Saccharomyces cerevisiae S288C: one gene and its partners. The protein of the gene in region 2 interacts with the protein of the main gene of each other region in a biochemical or structural test. Each region holds a gene or a part of one and is shown on either strand. Other genes may lie near its edges.

Region 1 (7,848 bases), on a different chromosome or scaffold from region 2:
TCGTTTAACCAAGTGCTTTATTTGCTTGGAATGTAACATAGTTTTACTAACATTTTTTTTTTTTAATTGACATTGCAAAATAATCAATGTATATCATTATTCATGCATCTATATCTGTATTTATATATTAGTTATTAAGAACACGAAAGAAGGATTATTTCAAGTCCTTGAAATTACCTTTATTATTAACAAAGATATCAATGGCAGACATAGCTGCATATAATCTGTTTTCTGCTTCTTCAAAGACTATGGAATGCTCTCCATAAAAGACATCATCACTAACTTCTTCTTGATGTCTTGGCAGACAATGCATAAATTTGTAGTTTGGATCAGCCACAGAGACAAGTTCTTGATTGATTTGAAAACCTTTGAATTGTTTCAGCTTGGCCTGTTTCGCAAATTCTTCACCCATGGAAACGAAAGTATCGGTTACTAATATATTGGCATTGGTGGAGGCCTTTAAAGAGTCGTGTGTTAATTCAAATGTCGCACCGTTTCTCTCAGCAACTTTCTTTGCTTCATCGACAATATCGGAATCCATTTCAATACCGGGGGGAGTGGAAATACTGACACTTATACCGAATTTCAGACATGCGATGCACATATCATTTATGACATTATTGGCATCACCAATCCATGCCATCTTCAATTTTGAATTGATTCCCTTATTTACTTCATCTAGAGATATATTGAAGTTTTCGATTATTGTTAAAAGATCACAAATTGCTTGCAAAGGGTGGAATTTGTCACATAGAGAGTTGATGATCGGTACAGAGGAATCCTTGCAAAAAGCAAGTATGTCTTCATGTTTGTTCACACGGGCAAAAATACATGAAACCATAGATGATACAACCTTGGTGGTATCGTAAAATGATTCATTGACACCAAGCTGAATATCCTCTTTACCTAAAAACATCGGTTGGGCACCAAAGAAGGTGGCTGCACCTTCGGTCGAAATTCTCGTTCTAGTTGATCTTTTAGTAAATATTAAGGCTATAGTTCTACCCAATAGTTTCAGATGGTTGGATTGGAAATCATTCGTTTTATTTGCTTTAAAAACATTCTTGAAATGTTGAGCTCTTTGTACTAAGATTCTGAATTCTTCATCAGAAAGATCTTTTATAGAAATCAAATGACGTAAAGATGAAGGCGTGGATGCTGTGGTTGACATGGTAACGAGTGTACAAGTTGATGGGTAGATGGCTAAAAAAAAAAAAAAAAATTGCTCGTTATTAACTGTACTTAAAGGACATACAAGGAATAAACTGCCTTTAGAGGTGAAAAGTCGATTTATATAGGTAGATTTTTTTGGATGGACGGGAATGGGAAGCCGCGCCGAAGAAAGAAACGGTGACCAATCCGGCTCAAAAAAATTTGTCCGGGCATTTCTCAGCGGCCGATACTGCTGTGAGTTGCACTTAACGGAAAAAATGACCAGTTTTTTGTCATCTCGAAACGAAACGGAACAAGAAAGCATATGAGTCACGACGTGACCCTCGAAAATTCACTGCTATCAGAGGAAGAGCTGAATGAGTAATACGAAGGAGCGTAATGTTAGAAGGTCGAGTTCAAAATATTCTGGATCTTGAATTTTTGTTTACTGGAGTCATGGTTGCTAACGATGTCTCGGTTATCTAAAATAATATGATCTAAATATTTTTTCTTAGAAGACGTAACTGATGGCGAATCAGGGTTTAAATTTAAATTTGTATCTGTGTTGAAATCTACCGAATTGCTATCTCTGTTTTCAAATAGGGATAACCTTTGTGAAAGCTCTTTATTCCTATTCTTGCATTTATTTTTACTTTTTTTAAAAGGAATTTCTAGTGGTAAGCTATTGTCACTGTCACTATCCTCTTCATCATCATCTTCCGCATATCCTTCATCTGTTTCGTAGTCATAGTTTTCAAAGTTGTTCATAAAAATTTTATTAAAATCGTATGGTGACGCATCTAGGAAATTGGAGTTAGAACTCGAGTGTTGCAAAAGGTTTAGCTGGGTATTGACCTTAGACGCGAAATTCGACTTGACTGAACTTGAATTAAAGCTCGATACGGCATCCAAATATCTCAATTTATTCAAACTTATTAACAATCGTTGCTCTTCTTGTGAGTAATGGATTGTCTCAAAAGGAAGTAATTTGAAATTGATTTTGAGGATTTGTAAAAAAGGGTTTGTGGAAAATTCATCATAGTACCATATTGGACACCAGTGATTTAAAAAGTTTTGAAATTTTTCAAACTTTATTTTACTTGAGTGGGGCTGGTTTTGACCACTTTCGTATTTAAGTGATAATGACCAATTGTTTAAATTGTTTAAACATAAGTCAATAATGTCAATACTATTGAAGGGCGTAAAATGGTAGAGATTTAGTTGCTGTGGTTGTAACTGTTGATTATCATCATTATTAGAGTCATCTGTAAGAATTAAAAAATATAGGGACAATATCTCTAACGAGATATCCTCTTTCTTCAAATCTTGGTCCCCTTCCTTTAAAGTCATTAATTTTAAACTCAAGTAAAATAAAGTTAATTGAATCTCCACAAAATCAGGTTGATTGAGTTTGTGATTTAGACCCGTCAAATTCTTAAGTAGTAAATTTGTTGTTAGTTTTTTATTTGAACTGGATGTTAAGAATCGGAAGTTATCGTGATCACTCAAATTGTGATAAAGGTTCCACAGTAATAAATTTTTTTTAAAGCTTTCCAGTTCATTCTGGAAAAATTGGAAATTTGGGTCCGAAACATTTAAAGATGAGATATTCAACAAATTACATCCATCCAAAGAATATATGATGAAGTTTAACAAAATTTCAAAGGGCTTCAGCCTGGGGATTTCTAGAACCGAGATTGATTTCGGTTGAAATTCTTCAGTTAAAAAGTTGGACTTTGGTAAACCTTGAATTAAGGACCACCATGAGCTTAAGAATTGAAAGCACCAAAATGTCACTATTCTATCATCCTCTTCATTAGATTTATTATTATTATTGTTGCCTGATATAGGAATTAAATTTTTGGGATTTATGTACAATCCCATATTCAAAATATTTGTAAAGTTTAGGTTTAGCAAATCATTGGTCCATATTACTGAATTTACATTTGAATGTTCTGTTAACGAGCTTTTACTTTTACAAGAGTCAACAGAGGCGCCCATAAAATAAAAGATGGATAAGTTAACCAATTGCAAAACTTTCAAGTCTAATTTGCTGTTTGTTGTCAGAGAAACAATAAGCTTCGTGACTTTAAAAAGCTTGAAATCATCAAAACAAGACCAAGTAAATTGAATAATATAAAGTAACGCCAGTAGAGTTATGGGTTCACCTGTCATTGCGGTTGAATTAATCTTGTCTAATAGCAAATTTTTCCATAAATTTGTAGGGTATAATAGAAGTAGCAAAGAATTTTGCCTTTTAAAAAAATCTTTAATAATGACAGACAACAAATTTTTCAAAAACTGAAGGTTATAATCATATTTAAGTAAAAGAAAATTTGGGAGATGATTAAAGTCACCATTCAGGTTCAAAAAATTTGTTAACAGTTGCAGTTGTAGATCAATATTATTTCGATCGTCTGTAAAAACTACTGCTTTTTGAGTAGGAAAAGTATTAGTTAGAATATTCCATGTCAAATGTCCCAAAAACCTTTGATTTTCAGACTGAGTGTTGTAATTATCAAAACAATAAAATGTATCATTAATGAACGGCAAATTAGAATTTGCATTGGCGCTGGAACTCGCATTCATATTTGTCAAACGGACGACCTCTTTTTCTAGTAGTTCTGTATACCCCTTTGGAAGACCTCTCCTCGACAGTTTATCCGAGGTTTTGCAAGGGAAGTCAATTTTCGCACAGTTTGAACAGTTCGGTTTTAAACCGTCACACTTGATTTTTTTCAGTCTGCATCTATCGCAAGCATGCGCCTTTCTGACAGAGAAATCAGTGATTGCGTTAGAGGAGCTTTGACCGGTTGGTACTATCAGGACTTTATTGCTGCAGGAATCTGTATCATCGAGGGAATAAGACCTGCCATATTTCCTCTTGGCCATCGTCTATTCAGAGTAGCGAGAAGAAAAAAAGAAGCAAAAAAAAAAAAAAAAAACGAGCAAAAGAAATCGAGCAAAGGAGAATGAGCAAAGGATAAACGGAAAACAATGGTAAAGAGGATTAGCCGCTGAACTAGATTGTAAATTGAAGCGGAAAAGAAAACAAAGGAGAGGAAATCGGAGAGGCAGAAAGCTTTCTGCCTTATATACTTTTTTTTTTGCCGCCGAGTTCTGAGATCACGCCCTTAAATTTAGCCGCCAAAACACCGGTCGAACGGCGAAAATGGATCGGAGTCTTGATTGCACCCACACCTCGCATTTTGTGCACTAACATAAAATATGACGAAGTGAGAGTCATGACACACAGAATAACTTAAAAATACTTGAGGAAAAAGTTCTCATATTATGAGGTCATAATAACTACATCGTTATTGTTGCGATATAACTTCAATGTTTTCTGCCTGCAAAAGAATCCTTCCTTTTCCTTCTTTAATTGAAGAGTCCATGTAACCTTGTTTCGTTACTTATATTTATTCACCTTTCTACTTTAGTCACATAACGTAATCTGGGCATAATCATTGAGGTATCATTATTAGCTTGAACTCGTGGTTCCTATTGTCGCCAGGTTTCTTTCAACGCATTTGCTCTTTCCGCTTCGCATACGGCGGTGATCAAATGCAAAACTTACCCTCATCAGTATAAGAGAAGAAAAACTGCATGGACTATTCGCGTATTGCCTGGTAAAGCTATATAGTACTATTGGTAATGTTTGTACTGTTTTATGTACATGATGAATAAGAAGAGACAAATTTTACGTGATATATAAGTCTTCTATTTCTAGTATGGCAGGTATTTTATCAGTAGCATTAATATTACTATGAAGCCCTTTCAAGGAATAACATTTTGTCCGACTGCAATAAATAATGAAATCTTAGCTAAAAAAATATCAAAGAAAATTATTAAGTTAGGAGGTATATTTTCTAAAGATTTGACCAGACAAGTTAATGTCCTTGTTGTTGGGTCCACCACCAATACAAACAAATTTAAATTTGCGGTGAAGCATAGATTCGATATCATATTTATTGACATTCAAGCCATTGATGACATTTATCAGCTCTGGCTGTCTGGAGAAAATATATTGCCGGACTCTAATACGGCAACAATGACAGGATCCACCTATGAGATGCTGAAGATACTTTACCGGCGATTTTCGTTTAAATATTTGCATAACTTCAATATCTTCATTGGCAGAATAACCGACACTAACATAACTTCCATCGATTCATTGGTTAGGAGTATTAAAAAGTTAGGGTGTTCTAGTTATAACTATCAAAACTTTGTAATCAAAGATACCTCTTCACACAATGATGACGATGATCAAGGTCAGAATGGGCAGATATCCATTTTTGTTACGGATACTTTACTAGGAGCAAGAGTTAACGCTGCTATTGAACAAAATATACCTATTGTACATTTCAAATGGATTCTCGATTGCCAAAAAAGAAGCGCACTGTTACCGTACGATCCCTATTATCTTTTACCAAATATTAAAGACCTGCCCTATGATTCAATCGGATCAAACTCTTGCGATTGCTGGGATAAAATAAACACCACCTTTCCAACCAATATCGATGCCCAATCCTCTCTGCAGCGGCAGCAATCCTCCAGTACCCTGACTCCTTCGCTCCCGAAAACATCATCCCTCTTGAATAAATTTAAACCAAAGGGTGAAAAAATATGGGACAAGGCAATGTCTCTACAGCAGCATAGTAAGACAAATTTTTCAGTACTAGGGCAGTCACCATTATCGATAAATAACAAACAAGAAGATTTAAGTGATAATAGTACTTTGATTTTCAAAAATTGTGCGTTTATCATTCATCATATTTTTCCTGGCAATCACCGTTCAATACTAACCAAAATTGTTGTTCAAAATGGGGGTAAAATTGAGACGTCTTACTTGAGCGGCATTTACGATCATTCTTATTACATCATTCCAAGTAATAAAGCTCTTGACTCCTTCAATGATTTACCTGAGATTATAGATGATAATGATGGTATAGTTACAGAATTTTTCATTGAACGCTGCTTGTATTATCAAAAATTACTACACCCAATAGATTTATGGTCAAAACCCTTCCTCAGCACAATAGAGTTTCAAGTTTCGTCTTCTTCAAAGTTATTGCATCATGAATTTTCTTCTTCCCCTTTTCTGAATGTTACTATCACTGGATTCTCTGGCGTAGAGCTGTTACATCTGACTAAAGTATTAAATCTTCTAAAACCAATGGGCATCAATTATGTAGAATACCTCAATAAATCCACTGACATTCTGCTAATCAACTTAGCAGCTTTACCCAGTATCCCGAAAACCCATCCGTTATGGTCGAATGAATTTAGCGATCTTTTTACTCAGTTTTGCATTAATAACAATAATGATGATCCTGGTGATAATAACAGAAAAGATTTTCAAAATAATTCAATCTTGAGAAATTCGATGAAAAGGAAAATTGAATATATCAAGAAATTCCACTCCATACCGGTAGTTACTCCAGCATTTATTTTTAAATTATTGTCCGCTGCATCTGGAGAAAATAATGAAATCTTTTTAAACAATATCAAGTGGTGTATTATCTGCCCAAGAGGACACAAGGACGATTTTAAATGTAAGATAAAAAAACCATACTATACCAGCATTAGTTCAGAAAAAAAGTACCAAAACAATGATCCAAAAATCGACAAAACTATTCTTTTGAAAAGAAACAATTCCTCATTATCGGAGCACTCTATGAAAGATACCAAAAACGAATTATTGCAGAAAATTAGAGAAACTGATTCTGGAAGAAAAAAGCGTAGTGTCTCATCGAGTATCATGGATGTTTCTTCAGAGAGACAAATGCCGGATACGAAAAGGATCAAGTTGGAGTCACTGCCAAAAAATTTCGTTCCTAAACAAATTAAACGAACCACGAGTTGGGGCACAATAATGTCAGAAAATGTGCCTACAGAGCAGCCGACTGCAATTTCTAATCCAGAAGAGATCCCAAGAACTGAGGAAGTTTCACATACTCAAGTTACCTATGGCTCCATTCAAGATAAGAAACGTACTGCCTCTTTAGAAAAACCTATGAGACGACAGACAAGAAATCAGACAAAGGAATTAGATTCTTGAAATGTAGTCCGTAATTTTATAAGATATTCATTTACATACGCCATCTACAGCATTATTCAAATCTACTCATCTATATGTATTACCGTTTTGTATGATAATACTTTCCATGACATGCTCGCGTGAAAAAACAGCATGAGAAAAAGAGGATCGCAATAAGAAGACACGTAAATATCTAAATAAATGGCAACAGTACATCAGAAGAATATGTCGACTTTAAAACAGAGAAAAGAGGACTTTGTGACAGGGCTCAATGGCGGTTCTATAACAGAAATTAACGCAGTGACATCAATTGCTTTGGTAACTTACATATCATGGAACTTATTGAAAAATTCCAACCTTATGCCTCCTGGCATTTCCAGCGTGCAATACATAATTGATTTTGCATTGAACTGGGTTGCTTTGCTTCTATCTATTACTATTTATGCTAGTGAACCATACCTTCTAAACACGCTAATACTGTTACCTTGTTTGCTCGCATTCATATATGGAAAATTTACTAGCTCGAGTAAACCTTCTAATCCAATATACAATAAAAAAAAAATGATTACACAGCGGTTCCAACTAGAAAAAAAGCCGTATATTACTGCGTATCGTGGTGGGATGCTTATTCTGACTGCTATTGCCATCTTGGCTGT
Region 2 (9,317 bases):
TTGCTATGCTGGCCCATGGTGTTAAGGCAGTTATCGAAGGGAAAGATCCCAATGATATACATACTTACTCGTACCGTAAGACCAAAATCAACAAGGTTTACCCTAACAAGTATATCCAGGGTGGTGTGGTTGCCCCAGATGTGGGTCCTTTCACCGTCTATGGGCCCAAATTTGATGACGAAAACTTTTACTTAAAACATGACAGGCCTGAAAGACTCGCAATGGCCTATTTTGGACCTGATTCTAACACCTCGGAATTCATCATCACCACTAAAGCCGATGGAAATGAGGAATTGGATGGCAAAAGTGTCGTGTTTGGTCAAATAACTTCTGGTCTAGATCAACTAATGGATGCTATTCAATACACAGAAACAGACGAATATGGAAAGCCTCAGCATGAATTACGGTTCCTGTATTTCGTTCTAGAAATCTTAAAAATTAGTAACATCTTAGATTTGCACGCTGCGTACACAGAAAAAGTCGAGAAGTTTAGAAATGGCGATGTGTCTGTTGGCTCCACTTTGGAAAACATCTTCCGTAACGATAAAGCCTACACACCTTTAACCACCTCCACTGGAACCACCGCCTATGATTTAAACCACCCAATTTCCAGAGCCTTGATGTGTTTAACTGTTCTTGGCCTTTGTTTCATTGCCTACAAGGGCATGCACGAAAAGCCTCATACGGTTTCATTAAGACACAAGTAAGCAACTTCTTTTCGATGGCTTGATGACCACATGGCTATGATTTTAATTAATATATATACATGACAATTATTTTTTTATACATTAGCGATACCTAAAATTTCTTGGTTAATACCCTTTTGACAGCCTCTACTGCATTGCCCTTGATAATAATTTTTTTCGATTGCATCACCACAGACCATGATTTTTTGGGTATGAAAGGCAGTTGCTCCTGCAAGTCATTTCTTAGTTGAATTACATCTCCTTCAATCTTTCTGATCTCCGTGATAATCTTGTTACCTCCATTTTTATAAGCGGAATACACCGGTAGATTTCCGGTCCTGCTTCTCTCCACGTAGTAGGTCTTTTTACCAAAATTGTTGTTTCCTATGAGCTCATGCATCTTCACGTCTTCCAGCTTTGGAAATATTGGCGCCTCAGCAGCTTTATTTGAATTAGTGGATATACATCTTATCGTTTGGTATATCGAGGCAGTGGCAGGCCCTGGAAGGCATTTACCCCTACCAAAACATCTAGTAACACACGAACTGATCATAGTTTTGCTCACACGCTACCTTGGAGTAAGTTGCTTTAGGTAAACGGGCACTTCTTTCAAAAGGTTTTCCTTCTTGCTGGAGCTATACTGCTTATAGTACCATATTTTAAATTCATACCAAGCCATTCGTACGCGATGACCATTATAGATCGACCTTGCGACACCATCATATTTAATATTCAAAAAGAAAAAAATGCAGTTCTATATCACAGTTATATAATATTTATATGTGCATGTATGTTACTTGTCTTTGCACATAACTCAATGCGTCCACAATCTTACCATCTTGTCTTTCCCACCACTACACACTCTTTTACCGTCGACACTCCAGTCGACGGTATAAACTTCGTCTTTATGACCAGGGAGGTCAACAGAAAGTTTTCTAGTTCTTACATCCCACACTTTCAACGTGGTATCTTTGGAACATGACACCAGTAGTCGGCAGTCCGATGACCACGCAACCTGGTATACGCTGGCTACATGCCCTCTAAATGTGGAGATAAACTTACCATCTCTACCGTCCCAAAGTTTGATAGAGTTATCAAAAGACGCTGAGACAATATACCTACCATCAGGGCTGAACGCCACATGATTGACTAATTTTTGGTGACCGGTCATTCTTGCTATAGGCTTGGTAGATTTTAGTGGGTTCCATAAAAACATGGTATAATCATCGCTTGCAGTAACCATCATTTCTTCTGAATTTCCATTCTTTTTACAGATTTTTTCATAATTTTCCAATGCCTTTTTCTGGGCTTCTTCTGGTGTAGAAGGCTTCTTACCTGTATGATCGAATGCACCAATGCGCAATGCGTAATCTGTAGATAAAGATAAGTGATTAACCCAGTGCGCATGCGACTTCAAAATGTTGATACATCTGCCCTGCGAATTGATGTCCCATACACGTACGGTTCTATCGTGAGAGCCACTATACAATAGACCTTGGCCGCCCCATTTGACACAAGACACTGAATTTGTGTGACCACTCATCGTATACTGGCAAACTCTGCTCACAGTGTCCCAAATCTTAATAGTACCATCCTTAGAAGATGAAGCTAATCTTGGTTTGGAGCCCGGCTTCACAAGATGTATAGGTTCCCAACTTAAAGAAGTGATCCACTTGGAATGACCTCTGAGAGCATCACCTAGACACTGACCGCTTTTTGGGTCCCATAATCTTATGGTATTGTCCATGGATCCCGTAGCAATTACTTCTCCATCGGGGGACCAGGAAACGCAGAGAACCCAATTGTAGTGACCCTTTAGAGTATGCATTGGCGTTTGGGTGTCACAGTCCCAAATCCTTGCAGTATTATCACCTGCACCGGTTACCATCCTAGAACTCGTATGTGGTGCGAAGGCAGAACACAAAATTGTGGAACCGTGACCTGCAATGGCTGATGAACTTCTAGTTACCGGCTTGACTTTGAAAACTGCTCTTGGCGTATACAGTAGCGTGATCTGATCTTCTGTACTGTTATAGCCTGGTTTTATTAATGAAGAATATAGGTTATCTGTTATATCAATCGTCTTCACAGGGTCACTGGCCTTCTTACCTTGAATTGTACAGCTGAAGGTATATGGCACTGGATCGTCTGAAGTACCGTTCAATTGATTTAAAAGTTCTTCTAACTGTTTCTCGGAGATAGCACCGGGAACTCTCAGGGCGCCACCTACATTGTCACCAGTATCTAAAGCTTGGAACTTGATTGAAACATTGGGTAAATCTTTCGGAATAATAGCTACTTCTCTGGGAAGTTGAGCCTCTTTCTTTTGTTTCTTAGAAGGTGGAGGAATCAGGGTGGACATCTGTATATTGTGTTAGTGTGTGTTTATCGAGGTTACAAATATAAAAATCTTGTGATATATGTCTTTTAAAGATACTCTTTTTGAAGCTCATCGCATTTTTTTTTTTTTTTTCATTTTAAAATTTTTCACCGGTTTCTCGGGTAACAGCTCTAAATGAAATCTTGCCTTCATCACCATTATTGAATTACATTACATTATATATCGTAGTATATCATATTTTTAGACGTTGACCACTCTATGAGCTTAGGATAGGTACTTGATCTTTCTCTGAGTTGCCAAATGCTATTTCACGGATTTGTATCATCCAAGGGTCTATCAGTAGTTCCACAGCAGTAGCCCTCATAGTGGGGTCTTGAACCAAACACCTTTCCAAGAAGGCTCTTCCCGCTGCAGTCATTTCGTCTCTATTGGGTAGTTGCGGTATTCGACCTGCAGCAACGTGGTACATGATGGCCCATTCATTATCCAAGTTAGACCAAGGTCGTCTACCTGTGGCCATTTCTAGCACAACACATCCTAATGCCCATACATCGTCCGCTCCAAGTTTTCCCTTAACTGCCGAGCCTGAAATAGTCTCTGGAGCCATATACATCGGTGTCCCCATCATTTCATTGAGGGACTTTGTTTCTACTCCAAAATCTTGAACGGCTGCGTTCCGCACAGTTCTAGTCCTAGATCCTACAACGGTACGTGCCGTACCAAAATCCACATATTTTATGATTCCATTGAAATCCAGCAAGATATTCTCCGGTTTAATGTCGCGATGCACCACGCCAGATTGGTGCAAATATGCCAAACCTTCTAATAGTTCGAATGTGTACACTTGTGTTACCATTTCATCTTCAATTCTTCCATGATCCAATAACGAGGCTAAAGAACCACCCTCACAGTATTCCATGAAGATGTTAACTTTATCGCGATGTACTTCGACACCATAGTACTGGACAATATTAGGATGGTTTAACATTTCCAATACGGTCATCTCTTCTTTAATCAGGGGAAAAATCTTCTTCATTGTTGTGGTATCGTGTATCTTTATTTCCTTAACAGCTAAGATTTCACCGTTTTCCAGATTAATTGCAGAGTATACCTGTCCAAATGTTCCACCGCCAATGAAGCTTCTTTTTTGCCACCTCATTGATACATTCGATAATGAGGATGCTAGCGATAGTAGGTATTTGTTTCCCTGATCTGTAGCATCCAATACCTTACCCATTTGCCTGGGATTCCTCTTCATAGTCTTTTCCAACGTCTTTATAGCTTCCAGTCTCAACCTGCTGTTTATTTCTAGGGTGGCCTCTTCATCAATATTCTCTTCAGTATCAATATTCAATCTTGCCTGTTGCATGCCATTTTCAGCTTCAGTGGCTCGTGCACCCATAACGTCGAAATGTGAAATTAATAATGACATACATACTGATACCCTCTCCTTCAGTTCTTGAAATTGCTTTACATTCAGCGCCAGGATATTATAACCACTAGTCATCTGCATCGCAAAATCCATTGCAAGAACGCACCATCGGAAAGTTCGCTGATCGGTAGGATCACACTCTTCAACAAGGAATTTCAACCAGTTCATTCCTAATTTAACCATCAGAAAGATGATAACGTACTTCCTCTTTGAGCTAAAGGCGTTATATTTAAGGAAACTTCTTCCAAAATCCCTTCCAAACATGAATATCGAATTTAACAACTCATTTCCCGGACATTGCTTCATAAAGCTACCTAGAATTCCTTTGTAGTTGTTCAATACTGTATAAGTAAGTTTGTAATATGCCTTATTGATTTTTTGTAGGGAGGATTCAATTGAATTGAGTGAACAACGTTTCTCTATGAATGAAACAGAATCACCTACCGTTTGATTAAACTTGTCGATTTGATAAGTCAGTGCATAATTAGAACCTTGATTGAGTAAAATCAACGTATTTGGGTTACCAATTTTCCCTAAATCCATTTCGTTGGATGCAAAAAGGTTGTTACCTGGAAGCTTATATACTGGTCCATCCCAAACTACTGGCTCTCCAGGATATAGTACAACTAGTGCACCCAATGAGCTCAAAGCAACTTCCAATTCAAAAACTTCATTGTTCTTTTCATCAAGGTGCTGATCAAAAGGGTCTGTTGAAAAATTCTTCTTTTTGGACTGATGAGCATGCCTGTCCAAATCACTTGACGAATTTGCTACTACTCGGTAGTAAGGAATTCCTTTGGAATCCTCCCCTTTCGATACTAGAATGTTCAAATCTGTTTCTTTTGTTGTTATATCATACACATTCAAATTATTTCCAATGTCAAGCTTTGGGACCAAATCACAGCCAATGGATTTATTTCGCAAAATTCTTAAGATGGTATCATTGTCACAACCTAATAATTCAGGAGCAGCAAACATATATACACCACTAGACTCAAAAGTGTTACCGGAGTATACCAAAAAATAGTGAGCATCTTTTAACTTTTTAACAAGTTGTGCATTATGATTAATCTGATAAACAGCAGAATTTTGGAACGCCTTGACTAGAATATTGCTGAACCTGTTCAGCTTTCTTTTCATGGCACCCAAATTTTCGAAAATGGAACTTAGCCATTTTTCTGCTTCTGAAGCGTTAGCAAATGTTGGTGGGAAGTTTTGTTGTTTCAAAAGATAGAATTGCAATTTATGTACGAGTCTCAAAGTTAACTTGAGAAATTCATTTGGAATCACGGTTTCTGCACCGTTAATATAGTGACCGGTGTTTTTTAGGTGATCCCAGTATTTCAAGAGTAGATCGGGTGCTTTGAAATTTTGTTTACTGGAATCAATCAACTTTAAATTCAACAGAAAAAATAAATAACGAATGGCTTCTATTACAGTATTTTCGAACGTCGGGTCAAAATCCACATCGAACGGCAAATTGGAGCAATATTTTGTCAGTGTGTACTTCAATTGCACAGAAAGTCGAATAAAAGCGTTAAAATCATCGATCATTTGATCGATCATCATCATTGTTGGATTTTTAAGCTTTCGTGCATATGACAATCTAGTCAAAATAACTTCTTTGATTAAATAGACGGGGAACGCCAGTAGTGATCTTAACCTTTCATAAGGATATTTTATGTTCATCTTTGTCAAAGTTTCTCTGTAGACTATAAAATGTAGTTTCAGTTTGAACATCCAAGGTGATAGCGGATAGAAAATTTTTTTTTGGAATATAGACTCGATGTTCTTTTCCTTCATCAATTGTTCTGCAAGAATCTTCATTTTGCAGTTCCATTGGGGCACACCATCAAAATCCTCTTGGCAATTATCCGAACTACTTATCGGTGAGAAACGGTTTATCCAGTCGTCCAACTCTTGCCTCCTCAACGTTAAGTTCGTTTTAAAGTTCAGCCAAGAATTCATTACGTCTATTCTAGCGGTAAATTCTGCAGTATTGGTGATTGGTTTATCCTTATACATTTTTTTCAAGTTAGGCCAATAAGAGACAACGCTGTGATATCTGTTCATGAGGTCTTGTAAGATGGCCTCCAGTGCATCCAGGCTCAATATCTTGCCCTGTGGAATTTGAAACTTCATTATCTCTTCAAAAACGGAATCTGAACTATCTCTTAAATATGTAAGCGACTGTTCCATCTCTTGCATGGTCCTCCCATTCAGCCATGCCTTCAATTCGAGCCATATCTCATCTGAGAGCTCCTTATTTAACCCTGGTTTCTTGACTTGGTTAGCAATCCTCGTCTTTTCACCTTTAACAATATCTCCCTTCAGCACTCTGGCCAGCATTGACTGCCATTTGAACCGTTCGGTCGCAATTTCATTCCAAGCTAGTTCATCACTGTCTGACCTCATTTTCCTGCAATAAGGTGTAGTGGAGAAAAACTTGACACCTGAGTGCAGGTCTTCATCAATTCTGTCGCCATTAGACAACCGAATAATTTCGTCATCACCGTCGTCTTCCTCGTAGCGGTTAGTGAGTTTTATGCCCCTCGTGTAGTAGTCATCTAAAGCGGTCTTTTTTAGCTTTTTCAAGTATAGCGATTCATTGAAAACGTATCGGTCCTTAAAAGTCAGCTGACTGGGGCCGTCGCTTATTGTTTCCGAGCCACCCAATGCTTTCAAATCAGATCTTGATAGTTTATGGCTGGAATGACTTGATAATCTCTTCACGAGCTTACTTGAGATGGTATGAGGAGCCAGAACTCTCCCGCCTTCAGCCGCTTTTTGTTGCTGTGTATTCAGTATATCCATCATCATTTTCACCTACAAGGAACTACCTTTTATAGCCACCCTAAGTAAAACAACATTAGCTTAGCATCCTCAATTCTTATCGTATGTTGTTGCTGCTATTTTTATCCTATTGTTCCTGGCATCGCTTTTTTACATAAGGTACCAAGGCAAGAGAAAAGACCCGCGAAATTTTCAATTCGAGACATAGGGTTAATACGAAATATGTTAAGGTCTAGTTTCCAAAAAATGAAGAAAATGTGATTAGACATCCTGGGGAAATTAGGTTTAAATAGGGCGGGCGCTACAGGGGTTTTCCTAACAAATTTCAATGATAATAGTGGCATCATCATCGTCATATCCAGTGTAGGTATGGACTAGAACAGAAAGCAATTTGCAGCAAGACAATATGACTACGACGGTACCCAAGATATTCGCGTTTCACGAGTTTTCAGACGTGGCAGAGGCCGTAGCTGACCATGTAGTCCACGCGCAAGACGGTGCATTGGCTCCAAAGAACGAGAGGAAACACTCTGTTCCCAACATCAGCATGAATGCACTGGATATGACGAGAGAGGCCTCTTGCAAAAGCACAGCATCTGCCGCGGAAGGGAAAAGTGGTAGCAGTGGTAGTGGCAGTGGTAGCAGTAAGCCCAAAAAGGAGAAACGGTTCAAGATTGCTCTCTCCGGTGGGTCATTGATCGAAGTGCTACACGAAGGTCTGCTAAAACGAGACGATGTACGGTGGGGAGACTGGGACATTTACTTTGCAGACGAGAGACTTGTACCCTTCAGCTCGAATGAAAGCAATTATGGATGCGCCAAAAGGAAGATTTTGGACCTGATAGACACGGCGAAGTATGGAACTCCGAAGGTGTACCACATTGACGAGTCATTGATTGACGACCCGCAAGAATGCGCTGATAACTATGAAAAGGTGCTAATCCGCGGGTTTGCCGGTAGAGATTCCGTCAAACTTCCGATGTTCGACTTGTTCCTGCTTGGTTGTGCCCCCGATGGTCATATCGCATCACTCTTCCCTAACTTCCAGGACAATCTACGTGAGAAACTTGCATGGGTGGTGCCCGTGGAGAACGCTCCTAGTGGGCCCTCGACCAGAATTTCGCTGACTATACCTGTAATCTGCCATTCTCACAGGGTTACTTTCGTTGTCGAAGGTGCAACCAAGGCGCCCATCATCAAGACCATTATGGAAAGGCCTGAAAAGGGCCTACCTAGCAGTATTGTCAACGAAGGTGCTGCTGGTCGTGTATCATGGTTTGTTGACGACGATGCTCTTACGGACGTCCTCGTCACCAAAAAAAAGTATAAATTCCACCAAGGTTTGTCTATTTAAACCATGCATGTGTGTACATACATACATACACACATACATACATACATACATATATTTATGTATATTTATGTATATATATATATATATATATATGCGTAATTATGCAGATTTCTCCTTGTGTGCTACAGCGGGTACTCTGACGCCAGATCATGGCCTCGAGATCGATATACAAACCACTGCATGATAAAGATGAAGTTGAATATTAAAGTTACCATTGACAGTCCCACTTTTCCAAAATTTGTCACGAACGTATCCAGACTGAAACCTTGATCGTTAGACAACTGCCAAATCAATTGGAGCAGCGAGGCGATACCGCCAGTGACATCTAGAAACACACCCTGAATGGGGAAACAATCCATAGATTTTCTTGTCGAGTTATGCGTCACTTGTGGGATGTACTTGATTAGTGACATCGATATTTTGAGTAAAAACAAATTGTTGCAATACGCCAGAGTTCTTGAGTTATGCCAATCGTACCAGTAGTTGGAGTACATAAATTGTACGGTTAGCAGTGAAAAAATGGCCAGTGATGCGAGTAAAATCCTTAGGTACCATGGATTCATCTTGCGGTGACCTTTACCTGGAAATCGCCAGATTCTCGCTCCAGCTACCACCTGGGTCAATAAGACAACATTCATCAAGCACCCATGCAGGCAATACCAGAAATCAAATTGCGTCAACTTGGGCCTGCCCAAGTCAGACTCATCACCC
Region 3 (6,975 bases), on a different chromosome or scaffold from region 2:
TTGAAACCCTCGATGAATGTGTCAATGTGCAAAGATAAACCATTGTTCTCTGTTGATCAGTGACTTAATGTTTGCTTTGGAGAATGATATTTTCCCTTTCCTATATTTGACTTTTGTTCTAAAAGTTATTTGGAGAGAAAAGGCATGATTGAGGTTGCGACTTTTTCGTTTTTGCTTTTGCATGGATAATTCATCCATGCACATCTCACTTTATTGGACCTTCAAGATTGGTTTCCCATGTAATTTAATTTTCTCTCCTCTACATTTAATATGTTCTATATTAATTAATACCAATTGAGTTGTGCGTACTTCATTGCAGATATTTTACCAGACCTGTCTGAGTTTTTCGTTCAAGTTTGGTTGAAATCGGCTTGAGGTATATGAACGTGGTTGGGATATGGAGATTGGGAGATCAAAGAAGCGAAAATACCTGAGACAGTTTTTTTAAAAAAGAAGCTAAGGAACATGACTCAAAGAGACACATTATTCTTGTTTTTATGAATAGGCGCTGGTCGGCGCACCTGTATGTACTATTATTTTTTTCTCTATCTATTTCTTGGTTCGGAAGTCCCCACCGCCTTGTTTCCATAACCAAAGTGCATCAATAGCATAATTTCTGACTGACAAATTTCTAGTGAATTTCTCATCAGAGGAGATTTCTAAGGATTCGATGACTTTTCCGTCTTTAATCAAGTCCCAAAACATGGAATAGATCTTATCCATAACGTTCGATATGCTTCCGTCTTCCTTGTATGTGTCTGCATCTATTTCTGGCACTAGCTGGTAGTAGCTTTTTTGGCCTAGCTTATAAAGTATTCTCCCCAAAGTTTGTATAGCAATGCACCTTTGAGAAGGAAAAGTGGATCTTGCTAAATGTTCTAACTCCACTATGGTGTAACCGGCGAGTTCAGGCGAGTCGCTGTGATGGTGCAACCCTGAGTGAATGGTAGAGTCTATTTGTCTTGTGGGTGGAACAAGGTCGCCATTAAAGTCAAACCTACATTCAGATACGTCTTCAATGATGTAATTCTTGTCTGTTTTTTGCTGAACCGGTTGCATCCATTTTAATTTGTCGACCTCTTTGGGCAAATCAGGGAAGTATTTTTCGTGTAATTTATCGTTGAAATTAGGATCATTTATATCAAGTTTCTCTAAATTGATTTCATTTTGGCTCTCCTCTTTGATAAAATGAACGTCTTTGAATAGCTCTTCATTTTTCATATGATCAATGCATTGTGCCATCTGGAAATCTAAGGGTGCGATATCATCGACGTCATCATTAGTTTTTGCTTCTTCTTCCACGTCTTTTTCTTTTCCTGCTTCTTCAAATTGAACATGTTTTGCATCTTTGCCTAACATAGGCCTAATTTCTAAGGCAACGTCTACATCTTCATCGTCTAACGGTGGTAGATCGTATATGCCTTGCTTGTTGCCACCTACCCAGGTACCAGAAGCGCCTTCTATTTCTGCAAATAATGGAGTGTTGTTTTCGTCCTTCGCTCTTTTATTTATGTTTTTCAATAGCTTGGCAATCAGTTTGGGATCTAAAGAGTTATACAGATCCTCACGTTCTTGCACGATTTGTTCATCACTCATTCCCTGCAGAACTTTAATATTTTCATTATGGATAGATTTTGCCTCGGATAGTGGGGCGTCTGTACTCGTTTGTTGCTTTTCAGCATCCTTGCCACTAGTTTTTTTCTTTTGGGCTCTTTTTTCTCTTAGTCTTTCCTTCCAAGATGATATTTTCTTGGGTTTGTACAACTCGGGAAATCCCGTTCCACAGTTGTTGGTACTAAGAGTGCCATTGTCATTACTTTCAACAGAGTCAGATGTATCTTTCTCCACTATATCGCCCAGTAAGTCCATTACGATGGTGGCAGAGTGATTTATCTTCTTTGAATGAGGGAAAATGAATATATTAAACTATAGATTTACTTAGCCGACAGCGATGAGATGGCTTGCCATTACATTATTATTCATTTCAGGTACATAGAAGTACCGAAAAATGAAAAAGAAAAAATAAAATAGAAAAAAAAGAAAGAAATGAAAAAAAAAGGGTAGCAAAAGAGCCACACATCACTTATTACGAAATTCTGCGGAGGAGGATAACGTAGAAAGAGTCACTCATGCTAAACTACCATAGTTATCATCCGAGGAGGAGAGGTGTGAGTACCGGGCCTCGTTCTCCTCATATGGATGACAGCTGATCACGTACAAAGCATGGATCAGACCAGGGAAAAACCCTAGTAAAAATAACAGAAAGTTAATGAGCAGATCCTTGGTAAAAAAACCTCTTTTTAGCCAGACTGCTAAGGGAGGAATGAAAATTGCAATAAAAACTAAAAACCAGTCGCGGGCGTGCATAGTGTAATTCTAAAGTTGTATGTTCTCTAATACGATGACTGGTACTTGCAAAATGCTTATTCGAGGACTAACTAAGATCGATCAGTAAAGATCTCTTGTCAATCAAACCTTTCTCGCACAATAGGAGACAGGAAAAGGGGAAAGAAAGTCGAAAAAGTGCGGGTTCCGGTACATGGATTATATCGCCCCGGGACAATGCGCGTTGCCCCTCACCGGCCCGGAATATACGCGTGGTTGCGCTCTTTCGTTACCCGCGACTGTTTTGGCGCCCCATTCATGCTACGCGGATCTGGACCTGCTTATTTCCCGAGAATACGTCCCGAAAAAGTAATGCAGTTTCCGAAATGGGCGCGGTAAGGGCCTAGGCCCAACGTTGGGCCTTTTTCAGTTCCAAAAAAACGACTCGTTGGGAGCCGTGCGGTCCCGTCTTCGGGCGTGATTGGCCGCTTTGGCCGCTTCTGGGCGTAGGACGCCAAAGTTTATTTCCAAAATAGCGAAGACCAGAGCCACGCCTTTTCTTTTTGCAAGCGGAATATCCGCTTGAGAAATGAGAAAAAGAAAGCAGAAAAAAAATCATCGCTTTTTTCACGTTTGTTACATGAGATATGGTGCTGTGTGTCATCGCGGTGGTTTTCCTGGCTTTTCTCCTCATATATAAGGAACTCGAGAAATTCTTGATTTTCTTTTCCATCTTCTCCTACTGTATTATTTACTTTATTAGTTAATATTGTTTTTGATTTTAGAGGAAAATCATCATTAAACATAAGTTTCAATCAACACTAATCATCAACAAAACAATGCAATTCAAGACCATCGTCGCTGCCTTCGCTACTGTTGCCGCTGTCCAAGCTGCTAACGTTTCTACCAATGGTTCCAACCGTACCAACGGTTCCAACACCACCAGCACCAAGATCTCCACTGGTGCTGCTGCTTCCAACGCTTTGGGTGCTGGTGTCTTCGGTGCTGCCGTCGCTGCCGGTGTCGCTTTCTTATTCTAAGTTCTTTAATTTTGAGTTTAGAGACATTATACTCCTATAATATCGAAAAAATTTTTTTATTATCGCTACACAATCAAGTTTTTATGTGCTTTTTTAATAATATTATTATAGAACAAGAAGAAAGACCGCTCTTTCCTTGAAGGGACCAAAGAAGGAAAAAAAATATGTTGGAAGGGTTTTATATGATCTTTTCATGTTCGTTCACTTGTAATGGAATATTAGTTAGAAGATGTAAATAACTTATCTGTTTATTTTTATTTCCTCTCTATAATTATTACCTGTATTAATTCATTATCTAATATAAAATCTAATCTAATAATAGAATTTTCTGATGTTTATCTTTTTTTTTGTCGTATTCTCGGCGAATTAATCGCGGAAAATTTCATATCGAATTTTAAAGGAATGTCATTTTGAACGCTAAAGTATTATTTATTCTCGTCCGATGTTGGTTTTTTTTCCTATCGCTGTCGTTATAATAGTACTTGACGAAGAGAGAAGAAAAGTAAAAATTTGAGCGAAAAAGAGGATAAAAATCACATTGAGGCAGAGTGGTTAAGGTAGCTGTACCAGTCATTTTGAATACATTTTTCTGGATGTTCCATCAATAATGGATTTTTATACTACTGATATCAACAAAAATGTTGTGCCTTTGTTCAGTAAAGGAACAGTAGCAAGAACAGCATCAAAAGCACAGTATCCATCATGGTGCAACAACGCGTTAAAGTTAACTAATATTCTTCTTAAATCTCTTCGATGTAAATTTCAAACGAACCGCTGCGAGGATGATCGAGGTTTTGAGGTATATTGTGTTATTTTAAAAAGCATCGCTTTATTAATGGCCGCGAAAGAATCATTGATATTACTACAAATACCTCCTTCTTTACCATCAGGATTTCCATTTCGTTCACCCCAACTGTCATTTACATATTTATCAACCCGTCTTAGTGGGAGCCAACACAAATCTACGCATTCTCATCACATCAATCATCAAACTCATCCCATTCATAGTAGCAGTAGCAACAGTAATAGTAATAACCGTATTCCTACAAAAACAGATTCCTCCAAACAGCATACACAGCATTTCTCTTTTGCTAATGCGGGAGCCTCCAATAGAGACGAACTGCTATCAATCGTGCGCAAAATTGATAAATCTAATTTGAAGTGTTGTGACTGCGGTAGCACCGCAACAGTAGAATGGGTGTCAATCAATTTATTGTGTATATTGTGTATCAAATGTTCGGGCGTTCATCGATCTCTGGGTTCACATATCTCCAAAATTAGATCTTTAACGCTGGATAATTTCACCTCGTTAGAGTTGATGCATCTTTTACAAAATAATGTTTCCAATAGTAATGTTAATGCCATTTATGAAAGCAATCTCAGGAACTTTCCAGTTAAAAAAATAACTGCAAATTCTGATGACTCGGAAAGATCCAAATTCATTATTGATAAGTATCAATTTAAAAAGTTTGTTATCGACAGCAACCAAGGCAGAGAGGCTTCTTTGAAGTCTTTAATTAAAGCTATCCATTTAGATAGTGTTTTCATGATGCAAAGAGCCATCGCCCAAAGTAAATATTCCCTAAGAGAATTGACGGCAAGCGAAAAAGAGCAGAATGATCTAAACCATTCTTCCATTTTTCAATATTCCCTAAAGCACTATGAAATTGTTGATGGAACGCCCATTTTTTTTATTACAGAATTTTTATTGTGCAATGGTATTCATATAGATAATTTACCGAAGATTACTACGAATTGGTCTCCAAAGGTTTTAGAATATTGGGAAACTAAGTTGGAGATGTACGGAACATTCCAAGCTGTAAATACTTCTCGTCCAAGATCAGGGCCGCATTTAAATATGCATTCAAATGTAGATTCAGCTTCGTCCTACAATAAGAAACACGATTTGAGAGTTAACATACCTGAAAGAAGTGCCTCAGCAAGTAAAAGGTGGAGTTTGAGCTCCATTCCTAAGTCTTCTCAAAATTTGATGTCCCCAACAAACTTATTAACAATGCATAAGTCTTTAAAATTGGCCAAAAAGGACAAAAAATAACATATATGATAATTTAACTGTATTTTTTTCCCTTTTCTAATACTTTTTCCTCAAGTTATATTTCGGAGCTGTCCCAGGTTCGGAACAATGCGGCATCAGGGATAAAAAAAAATGACACATAAAAACGAAAAAGACACAAATTCCATTTTTTTTTTTTGACGCGAAAGAATGACACTACTTTCTTCTATTGTAACCATTTCTAACATCGATATTTTACTTGTTAGTTCAGATATATACTAAAGAGTCACTTAATATACTGTTTTTGTTTATTATCTTGGTTCCAACTGCTTCATTTAATATTTCCTATCCAAAAAAAGCCAGCTAATTCTCTTCTTTTTTTTTCTTATTTTGCCATTTTCAATATTATCGATTTAGTGAACACCTGGCTAGTCAGTTGTCTTAGCAAACATTTCTCAAAAGAAAGCAAACCAGCATTTGCTTTTTAAATTTAGTTTTTTTACTAGCTAATTCATTTACTAAACAACAAAAGAAAATAGCACAAAATGGAAAGCAAAGAAATATCAATTAGGTCAAGAACCCCTCCATCGAAGCTATATTCCATCCAATCATGTATTGGCAGAGGTAACTTTGGTGATGTGTATAAAGCAGTGGATAGAGTTACGCAAGAAATTGTGGCAATTAAGGTGGTCAACCTGGAGCATTCCGACGAAGACATTGAACTGTTAGCACAGGAAATTTTTTTTCTGGCGGAATTGAAATCTCCTCTTATTACAAACTATATTGCAACAATGTTAGAAGATGTCTCTATGTGGATTGTCATGGAATATTGCGGCGGTGGATCATGTTCAGATTTACTGAAGCGAAGTTACGTCAACGGTTTGCCTGAAGAAAAAGTTTCCTTCATTATTCATGAAGTCACCTTGGGTTTGAAATACCTGCATGAGCAAAGGAAAATTCATCGTGATATCAAAGCAGCTAATATTTTACTAAATGAAGAAGGTATGGTTAAGTTGGGTGATTTCGGAGTAAGTGGCCACATTCGTTCCACTTTGAAAAGGGACACTTTTGTAGGAACGCCGTATTGGATGGCTCCGGAAGTTGTTTGCTGCGAAGTTGATGGGTATAATGAGAAAGCAGATATATGGTCCTTGGGTATCACCACCTATGAGTTACTCAAGGGCTTACCCCCATTATCTAAATATGATCCTATGAAAGTTATGACTAACTTACCAAAAAGGAAGCCTCCAAAATTACAAGGTCCCTTTTCGGATGCAGCAAAGGATTTCGTAGCTGGTTGTCTTGTTAAAACACCTGCTGATCGGCCATCGGCATATAACTTGTTATCATTTGAATTTGTTAAGAATATCACCATAACGAACTTGAAAAGTGATGTTGATCTAATTAAACAGAAAAAGGTTCAGGAGAGATATACAAAAGTTCCCAAATACCCTCTTCAAAATCGCTTGTATAAAAACAGCAACACAGTGAGGGGAAAGGAATTTTGGAATTTTGAATCGACAAGACTAAGCACAACACAAATTTCCAAAGAGGAATTATCTCCCATTACACAAGACTCTCCAACATCATCTTTAA

The links.
Region 1: of the proteins of SSK22 (region 2) and SIP4, one has a biochemical effect on the other in vitro, tested with the Saccharomyces cerevisiae proteins (one large-scale study listed by BioGRID).
Region 3: of the proteins of SSK22 (region 2) and AGE1, one has a biochemical effect on the other in vitro, tested with the Saccharomyces cerevisiae proteins (one large-scale study listed by BioGRID).

What each region holds. Positions count from the first base shown.
Region 1 is NC_001142.9:262,122-269,969, reverse strand, and holds SIP4 (Sip4p), read right to left. Parts: upstream 4,045-7,848; coding exon 1,555-4,044; downstream 1-1,554. Other genes in the region: ARG3 (ornithine carbamoyltransferase), read right to left, coding at 155-1,171; protein kinase activating protein DPB11, read left to right, coding at 4,919-7,213; GWT1 (glucosaminyl-phosphotidylinositol O-acyltransferase), read left to right, coding at 7,418-7,848.
Region 2 is NC_001135.5:239,305-248,621, forward strand, and holds SSK22 (mitogen-activated protein kinase kinase kinase SSK22), read right to left. Parts: upstream 7,280-9,317; coding exon 3,284-7,279; downstream 1-3,283. Other genes in the region: peptidylprolyl isomerase family protein CPR4, read left to right, coding at 1-707; mitochondrial 54S ribosomal protein mL49 IMG2, read right to left, coding at 799-1,239; RSA4 (Rsa4p), read right to left, coding at 1,501-3,048; SOL2 (Sol2p), read left to right, coding at 7,659-8,606; cystinosin-like protein ERS1, read right to left, coding at 8,729-9,317. UniProt on the Saccharomyces cerevisiae protein: Kinase involved in a signal transduction pathway that is activated by changes in the osmolarity of the extracellular environment. Activates the PBS2 MAP kinase kinase by phosphorylation.
Region 3 is NC_001136.10:1,485,988-1,492,962, reverse strand, and holds AGE1 (GTPase-activating protein AGE1), read left to right. Parts: upstream 1-3,972; coding exon 3,973-5,421; downstream 5,422-6,975. Other genes in the region: RBA50 (Rba50p), read right to left, coding at 550-1,869; SNA2 (Sna2p), read right to left, coding at 2,128-2,367; API2 (Api2p), read right to left, coding at 2,729-3,058; YDR524C-B (uncharacterized protein), read left to right, coding at 3,165-3,365; YDR524W-C (uncharacterized protein), read right to left, coding at 3,471-3,560; putative serine/threonine protein kinase SPS1, read left to right, coding at 5,925-6,975. UniProt on the Saccharomyces cerevisiae protein: GTPase-activating protein (GAP) for the ADP ribosylation factors ARF1 and ARF2. May be involved in the endocytic pathway.